2 linked regions of the Mus musculus genome follow. The protein of the gene in region 1 interacts with the protein of each later gene in a pairwise test. Links are inferred from orthologs where the notes say so. Each region holds a gene or a part of one and is shown on either strand. Other genes may lie near its edges.

Evidence for each region.
Region 2: the proteins of Tbl1xr1 (region 1) and Arl2 interact in binary tests that used the Homo sapiens proteins (3 or more experiments, as listed by UniProt). The two-hybrid records come from large-scale screens. The link is inferred for Mus musculus from reciprocal best matches to the Homo sapiens genes TBL1XR1 and ARL2.

Annotation. Positions count from the first base shown.
Region 1 is NC_000069.6:22,075,254-22,079,745, reverse strand, and holds the start of Tbl1xr1 (F-box-like/WD repeat-containing protein TBL1XR1), read right to left. Parts: upstream 3,095-4,492; 5' UTR 2,792-3,094; intron 2,437-2,791; exon of another isoform or gene 2,319-2,436; intron 1-2,318. UniProt on the Homo sapiens protein: F-box-like protein involved in the recruitment of the ubiquitin/19S proteasome complex to nuclear receptor-regulated transcription units. Plays an essential role in transcription activation mediated by nuclear receptors.
Region 2 is NC_000085.6:6,138,127-6,142,676, reverse strand, and holds the start of Arl2 (ADP-ribosylation factor-like protein 2), read left to right. Parts: upstream 1-1,539; 5' UTR 1,540-1,575; coding exon 1,576-1,640; exon of another isoform or gene 1,641-3,047; intron 3,048-4,550. UniProt on the Homo sapiens protein: Small GTP-binding protein which cycles between an inactive GDP-bound and an active GTP-bound form, and the rate of cycling is regulated by guanine nucleotide exchange factors (GEF) and GTPase-activating proteins (GAP).

The sequences.
Region 1 (4,492 bases):
ACCTTGGAGCACCTTTCCATCTCACCACAGAGAAAGCCAACACTACAGATTGGTCACAGGGATCAGTCTGAAGGCCTGAGCGACAGGCAGTGTGACAGGCAGTGTGACAGGCAGTGTGACAGGCAGTGCCTCCTCACACCTTCCTGGAGGTGGCTCAGGCAGAGTCCCTGTCCTTGTCCAGATGTCTGGCAAAAAGGCAATAAACTGTACAATTACTAAGTAGGATGCCACCAACATAAGTCGTCAGACCTCCTGACCATCATCCCAAGGCTCTGTTGATGGCAGTTCAGCAAGCAAGGTGAAGGCCTTCTTGCTACACAACCCCAGGTCTGAGGACAAAATGTAAATGTCTCCTGCTCACTGTTTCCTCTTCCCACTTCAGGGATGTACATACACTGTAAATATTTCTGAAAATGAGTCAAATTCACATGTACTAGAAAAACAGTTGTAAGCAGAGCCAATGTTTCTGCCATCTCTCTCAGTGTTAATGTAAGTATCAAACCTTAACAAATAGTTTCAGCTCCATCCACACCTGCTCAGTGAATGTCCACAGTAGCCAGCCATCCTTGGAGAAACTGTGTGGAGACCACTCTGCAGTTACACTTCATCGCTGTAAGTGAACTAGGACATTTACTCAACAGGTTCAAGTGTCAAAGGTCCATGTGTCAGCCCCTTTTCATCAGAGACCCCATGTTTATAAAGCTGTAGCGACCTAGCTCGCTAGCTTGAAAGCTTACCAGTTTCACAGGAAGCAGTTATTTCTGGTTCTCTGGCAGACAGGTATTATGATAATCAGTCTTGCAAAAACCTTAATTAGATGGAGACTACAAGTATCAAAAGAGGTTCTTGGGTTTATATAAAAAGTTAAAATGTTTTATTGGTCTTCAACAAAATACAATATCAAGGTTGGGCAGTAGCTCATTGGTAGAGCACTTATCTATCAGGAGTGAGGCTCTAGGCTCAATTCCCAACACTACCAAAAAAAAAAAAAAAACCACCCACACACTCCATTTACCACCAGTCTCCTATGCTAACAACATGTACAGATTAGAAGTGTGCTTCAAAGACAGGGTCAACTGCAAGAATTCTGAAGACGTTAACAAGTTAATGAAGTTGCTTAGCTTTTTTTACACATATTTTCTTTCCTCACAGGGTTGGCGTGTTCGTCCTAAATTCTAGAGATCTGAGTTTACAAACTAAAGGTAAGACAAGTAATTTGAGTGTTTAGTGTTTGCGATTACAGACTTCATCCCATGCAGGGCAGCAAAACTAAGAGAGAAATAGTCAAAGCAGCAGAGAAGCCTCCATTTAGACACGAAGGGCACACAGGACCTGCCCAACCCCTTTCAGGCAGGCTGGCGACCTACCGCCCCTCCCCCATAGCTAAATGCCAACTGTTTCTAGAACTCTCAGTGATAATTTGGGAAGTTTGCCATTAACTCCCACGATTCAATCCAACTGATACACAGTGTTTTTGTGCAGATAAAGATGCCCTACTTCCCCAGACTATAAACTTATTAAAGTGGCGAGAACATACAGTCCCAGGAAGTCAGGATTACTGAAGTGCTCCAATAAGCATGGGTCTTATTTAACAAAACTGAACGTGAATCACACAGGGAAACCCAAAACTCATTTACTACCTTCAATGGGCCACCAAGATACTGCAAAGCACTTTAGCTAAGTTAAATCAGTAAGACATGGCCTTGTATTGTTTTACACTGATGGGGGGCTTTCAATCTCAAGATTCAAACTAGAAATAACACATCATTTCATCCACCGTACTTTATTAACATGTTTAGACCAGCATAAGGTTCTTATATGGAAAAACAAGAAAGCCAACAGTAAACTTCCCTAATTAACTGTAAATGGCATATAACCCTTCACCCTGGGGCCGATAAAGTCCAACCAAGGTTTTAAGAAAACTCCAGACTGTTAAAGAAATGTAATGTTTAGCTATGTTCCAACTCTTCTGTGTGATCACCAAATTATTTTCAGTGTTGGGTAACCTAACAAAGAGAGCGTTTCTTAAAAGCCACCCAACCCAAATGTTACACAGAACAGACCATTTTCACAACCTAAATTTAATCCAAATTGAGAACTTCCAAAATTACCGAACACTCTAACACATGCATGATTCGCCTCGAGCTGCCTTTCAACGTGGAATTACACTTAAATGAAAGTCAGCCCCTGTTCCAAAAAAAAAAAAAAAAAAAAAAAAAAGACATCGGTTGCAAAGAGGAAGTCACCCAGCAAACACTCACAACGTGGCTCTATACTGTCAGAAGATAATGTGACTTGTGTGCCACCCCGAAACTTACCAGGAAGCTGGCAATAAGTTTGCCAACTGTATACACTTCTGACCCAACTTTACCGAGGCTGTGGCCAGGGCCTCCTCGTGGGGAGGCCACAGGCACAAGGTGCCCACACTCGCGTCCTGAGTGAGCGAGGCCCGGCCGCGCCCCTCCCCCGCCCGCGCCCCAACAGCCGCCCGCGGTCCCCGCCGCCGCCCGGGGTCTCCGCGCGCCACAGCCCGAGGGGTGCGCGACCGGGCGACTGCAGCCCGCGCGCCCGAGCGCGGACCAGCACCCATCCTGAGCCCTGGCCGCTCCCCCGCTATGTGAGCACAGGGCGGCTGCGGCCCCGCATCCAGCCTGCGCCCCCAAGCCCGCTCGCCTGGGCCCAGTGCCTCCCGCAGCCACCCCGACCCGGGGGGGCAGCACGTGAGCGCAGCCGCCCCTCCCCCGCGCCCAGGCCAAGTTCGCGGCGCCCGCAGCCCCGGGCCCGCGCTCACCTGCTTGGCGACGCTGTCCCCTCCAGGACGCGCGGCGCTCCCCTCCTGGCCGCCGTCGGCACCCCGAGGCGCCCTGGGGTGCGGGCGCTGACAGCCGGGCAGCGGGTCCGGCGGGGGAGGGGCGCGGGGGCAGGGCGCAGCACCGAGGCAGGAGGGGAGCTGTTACTAAGGGAGAGAGCCAAGCGCGCGAGCGGCCAACGGCTCCGGCTCGGCACCGGGGAGCGCGGGGACCAGCCAGGCACAAATGAGCTCCGGGCCCGCGGCGGCGACGGCCGCGCAGCAAAACAAACCCGAGCGGCCTGCGCCCGGCGCGCGGGGAGGGAGGAGGGAACAGGGAGCGAGGAGGGGGAGGGGTAGAGGGGGAGGGGGTGGAGGGGGAGGGGAGGAGGACCCGAGGAGGGGGAGGGGAGACGAGGGGAGCGGAGGGGTGGGGCGCGCCCGGAGGGGGAGGGGAGGAAGTGAGGAGGACCCGGGAGGGGGAGGGGAGCGGAGCCGGGTGGTGGAAGAGAAGGAGAGCTGGGCGGGGGAGGGGAGCCTGGAGGAGGAGTGGGGAAACGGGTTGTGGAGGGGGAAGGGAGCCCCGAGAAGGAGAGGCGAGGGGGAAGGGAGCCTGAGCCTGGGAGGGGGAGGGGAACCTCGACGGGGAGGGGGACCTGGGAGGGGGAACTTAGAGGGAGGAGCGCCGGAGTGGGGGAGGGGCGCGGCGGAGGGGCGGGGCCGCGGTGGAGGCAGCGCGGCGGTGGCGGTGGGGGTGGCGGCCGACGAGCCGTTCCACACTCGGCTTCCTCACTCGCTCCGCTCTCCCTCCACCCAGCCTCCCTCGCTCGCTCGCGGCGCTGGGGGCTGGGCTCGCCGCGCATTCGTTCCAGAGCCCGCAGCCGGGGCTGTCCCGCTGCCTGGGTGGCGCTTGAGTCCCTTCGCCCGCAGCAATCCCGCGAGCCGCGGCCGCTCCGATCCCCGGAGGCGGCCGGCAGCTGCGGGAGCTCGGCGCGGGCTCCACATGGACTCCGCGTTCAAAGTGCCGCACACTTGGATGCGCGTAAACACGCCCGCTCCGGAGCGTACCTGGAAAGGTGCTTCGCCTGCCGTGAGCGAGTTCTAGGATGGGACCCGGAGCACCGCGCGTGGGGAGACGCGCAGCGCGCACGGCGAGAGGGGTTTGGTGAAAACGCAAAGCTGAAATTGAAGTTGTGCGCCCAAATGTGCGACTTGTCTGCGGGTCTTTTGGGAAGGTTTGATGGATCAGTTCTCATTGCGCGAAAATAAAGCCATAGACAGAATGAATGTTCACTAAGTGTGCACCGCGGTGTGATATCCACGGGAGTTTATATTATCTACTTTCTGCATGCGTCTGGCACGTGAAGGCGGTTTCTGAAGTACAGTTTGGCTGCCCAATAATGTCAAAATGTGGCTGCCGGAGCGCCGAGGATTTTTAAAATACTGCGGTGACCTTCCTGAGCCTTTCAGAAACCTGGGCTGTAAGAGGCACCCTTCCTTTTAATTCTAGCATATATCTTGAAACTCTGCTTTTTTGTTACTATCTTTAAAAATACTTTGCAACCTTCTTTGGTGAAAGGTTCTAGTTTCAAGTTGTCAAAACATTTGGAAACGTGTATTCCTGTCAAGCAGTGGTCTTCCTTTAGTGCTTCAAAGATAAATTTTCAAACAAAGTATCATTTGAAGTAACTTTCACAGCTATAG
Region 2 (4,550 bases), on another chromosome or scaffold:
CTGCCCGGTAGTGGTGGCGCATGCCTTTAATCCCAGCACTTGGGACGCAGAGGCAGGCGGGTTTCTGAGTTCGAGGCCAGCCTGGTCTACAGAGTGAGTTCCAGGACAGCCAGAAAGAAAGAGAGAAAAACCTACACAGAGAAAACCCCTGTCTCGGAAAAAGCAAAAACAAACAAAAAACAAAAAAAGAGAAACTAACTCTTTGGGCCAGTGAGAAATCTCACCAATTAAAAAAAAAAAAAAAAAAAAAAAAAAAAAAAAAAAAAAACTTGCTGAGAAAGTCTGATGCTAAATTCCCTGCCTGGAACCCACATAAAAGTGCGACAATCGGGGCTGGAGAGATGGCTCAGCGGTTAAGAGCACTGACTGCTCTTAACCTGAGTTCAAATCTCAGCAACCACACCGGTGGCTCACAACAACCTATAATGAGATCTGATGCCCTCTTCTAAGGGGTCTGAAGACAGCTACAGTGTACTTACATATAAATTAATCTTAAAAAAAAAGTGTGAGAATCAGCTCCACAAAGTTGTCCTCTGATCTCCAGTGGTATGTGCAGACACGCGCGCGCGCACACACACACACACACACACACACATACAGAGTTTACACACAACAATGATGATTGTTTTGAGACAGGGTCTCAGATGTGTAGCCCTTTCTGTCCTCAATATATATACAGACCAGGCTGCCCTCAAACTCACAGAGATCCACTTGTCTATGCCACCCAGGCATTGGAATTAAAGATATGTGCCAACACAACCAGCAAAGAAAAAAAAATTTTTTTTAAAGAACTCTTGTCAAAGTCATTTACTGAAGATAATCTGATTGTACAGCTAGTACATGCCAGCAGCCATGAGGCTAAGCACCAGGTGGGCTTCAGGTTTTTTATCGTTGTTTTTTGAGACAGGCTCTGCCCTGCCAGTTTTATCCTAACAGTTGGGATAGAGCGTCTCAACCTGATAGGGTCCTAGATAGCACTCAATCCTTTGTGCGGGTCTGGTCCCTGCATTGCGGGGAGCTTGGAACTCTAAACAACCCAAGGAGGCCATACTGTCCGCACATTTAGAAATGGCCCCTAGGGGGAGTCATCATCCTCAAGTGAACGCACAGAGCCATTTCCGACAGAGTCCCGGACCAGGACCAACGGTTTTCCGTCACTGGTAAATGAATGGAAGTCACAAGATGCACTGGTGGGAACCGTATTACAGTCCCCGGATGATTCGTCAGCTCTTTGTGGAACCAGATTCCGACTCCTAGCTCAGAATCTCTTCGCGGCTACTCCCTACCCAGACGAGATACTGCTCGAGAAAGTCAGCCTCTGTCTGGCATCCGACCGAGGCCTCGGAGTCGGAAGGCTTAGGGACTTCTCCCTTGTCCCCACCAACCCTCTGCCTTCCCGACAAGGGTTAACGCAGCAGGCTTCAAAGTCGCCGCAGCGCCTCTAGGGGGCGACGCCCTGCACTCCTGTGGTCACGTGACAACGAGGGCGGCCACAAGCGCCAGGCTGGCCAATAGGAGACGGGAGCGGGGTCCCGGGACTAGAAGAAACGGCGGCCGGGAGGGGGCTACGGGATCATGGGGCTTCTGACCATTCTGAAGAAGATGAAGCAGAAAGAGCGAGAGCTGCGGCTGCTCATGCTGTATCCTCCGAGCGCTAGAGCGGTCGCGAGGGTAGCGGGGCCCGCCGGGTGGGCGGAGCCGGGCGTGGGGGGGCGCGGCCGCCGTGGGTACCTATTGCCGGTGGTGCGTCACGCACGCGGCGCTACCACTGCTCGGCGCGGGGCCGGGGAGGGCCGTACCACTCTGCGGGGTGGGGGTTGGCGTGCAGAAGGCAGCCCGGTGGTCTCAAGGCCCGGCCTAGACTTGGGACTCCAGTATCACTGCGAGGCGCGACGCAGTGGTGGTGACTCGGACGTCACGCTGCCTCGGGCTGGCCCGAGCGTGGGCCCTGCTCCTCCCTGGCGCTGACCCCCTCCCCTTCATCTACGGGTGTAGGCCTTGGCGCTTCCCTTAGGGTCGGAATCCCAGGGTCTCGAGGACCGCCTAGGCTCCTGCGAGTAGGCGTGGACTCGGTTGGCCACAGGTCCCGCTGTCACTTAAGGCCACCAGCGACCTTTCACCGCATTAACTGGCACCTGCATCACCCGTCTTGCACTGTGCCGGGCCACCTAGGCATCTGCGATCCACAAAGTAGCAGAGGGAGAAAAGGAAATTTAATGTGCACGTAGAACTTTACCACTCGTGCGTGTTTTAGACAATTCTGAGAAAGACACTCATTAGATGACCTCCAAGCACCTATGTTAGGGAATTCGGTAAAACAGGGAAGCGAAAAAGGCTTCATTTCAGATATTCTGTGATGAAAGGGGAGAAAAAATTGATAAAGCAAGTAAGATATGTAGTGTAGGATGAGAAGAATAGAGTCCACAAGGAGGTAGAGAGAGCTGGGAAAACGTAAGCAGAGGACCTGCAAGTGCGAAGGCCCTGGAGGAGGATAAGACAGGCATGTTCAAGAAAGGTTGAGAAGGAAAGAGCTGGAGAGAGGGAGAGCCCATGGGCTGGGGCCATTTAGGCAGCTGGACTATGAAGGGAGCACAGGATGGTGGCTTAGACCATGGTGGTAGTAGGAGAGTATTATGACTTGCTGCTGAATGGGAGAAGACAATGAGGGAGATGTAGCCAAGCATGAACTGGTCTCTGGCCAGAGTGTTCAGAAGGACAAGGAGCCACTTGCTGAGATGAGAGACGCATGTCCCTGGGAAGACACCAACCCTGACTGTTGGGCAGGTAGGTAGCAGCCATCAGCCTAGAAACGATCATGGGATGGCCCAGCTGGGGAGTGCTGAGACCCAGGTGTAGACGCTTGTGTGAAGTCAGATGAGGGTAACAGGATGGGGTCTGGGAGAGGGCCAAGGAAAGAGCAGCAGCGCCCGGAGCAGAGCAGAAGCTGGGCCACCCGGCCAGTGGAGAGCAGTAAGGGGGTCTTCGGAGACCTACCTGGCAAAGTGAGGCTTCAGGAAGCATCAGGAGCCAGTCTGCTAACAGTAGACCTGTAGAAAGCAAGAGGCTAAGTAAAACTGGTGCAGTGGTGAAGAACCAGGGAACAGGGGTTCAGTGCCCAGTACCCACTTGGTGCTTCACAGCCTTGTGTAACTTCAGTCCTGAGGTCCTCGTGTAGGCAAAAACTCAAAATATTCTAAGCAAACAAAAAATGAGCATGGTATCGAACACCTCGAATGCCAGCGTTCAGAAGGTAAAGGCAGGTGAATCTACGGGCTTGAGTCCAACCCGGTCTACAGAGCAAGTTCCAGGCCGGCCAAGGCTACATAGACCTTGTCTCAAAAAAAAAAAAAACCAAAATGCAGGAAAAGTCCAACATGGTGTTACATGCCTGTAGTTCTGGCACTCAAGAGGCAGAGGCTGGAGAACTTTGACAAGTTTGAGGCCAGTTTGCGTTACATAGAGTTCCAGACAAAAAAAACAAAACAAAAGAAAACAAACAAACAAACAAAAACAATACAAGCCAAAAGATGGAAGTTGGTACAATGGAGTATAACACCTGTTCCCAGGATGCACCCCAGAGGAAGCTGTGGCCGACTCAGCAGATGGTGGGGGAGTGGGTGGAGACAGGTTCTGCTGCAGTAGTGCGCAGCACTCGAGGCGTGAGGCGAGAGTTTGGTGATGAGAGGAGAAGGGATGGAAGAGTGGATGTTGTTGGATTGACAAGACAATCTGCTGGCTTTCCAAGGTGAGAGTTGGGCTGCAGAAGGTGGAAGGTATTCACCCGTGCCTCTCAAAGGTGGGAGTCACAGAGCCAGAGTCAAGTGAGTAGGAAGAGGTCCTAAATGTAGAGCCTGTCCCTTCTCCCCTCCGCTCAGGCTTTGGCTGCCCCACAGTCTCACCTGCGGTTGAGCTCACCTATTGGCTTGTTCTCTGCAACGGAGGCTGTGGATCATTCCAGAGACAGATGAAGGTGGTTGCCACCTCTAGATACTTGCCCTTTACTTGGTCCTTCAGAAGGCTGGGCCCATCTGTTTTGGGCCTCAAGACCCCACAGAGCCTTGTCTGGTATCTTAAGTTGAAAGCCATTCCTTCCAGGAATGTCCTTCACTGGTTCCAAGTACCCAACCTTCTCTTCTGCTTTATTTAGTCTTTAATTTTTTTTTTTTAAAGATTTATTTATTTATTATATGTAAGTACACTGTAGCTGTCTTCAGACACTCCAGAAGAGGGCGTCAGATCTCCTTACGGATGGTTGTGAGCCACCATGTGGTTGCTGGGATTTGAACTCCGGACCTTCGGAAGAGCAGTCGGGTGCTCTTACCCACTGAGCCATCTCACCAGCCCTAGTCTTTAATTTTTTAACACTTATTTATGGATGTGAGAACTTTGTCTGTACACTGGGGTGAGTGGCTGGTGCCCACAGAGGTCAGCATTTGGTTGTGAACCACCAGGTGGATGCTGGGAACTGAACCCAGGTCTTCTATAAGAGCAACATGTGCTCTTTACTGCTGAGCCATCTCTCCAGCCCCATTACTTAGACTTTTGCTAGT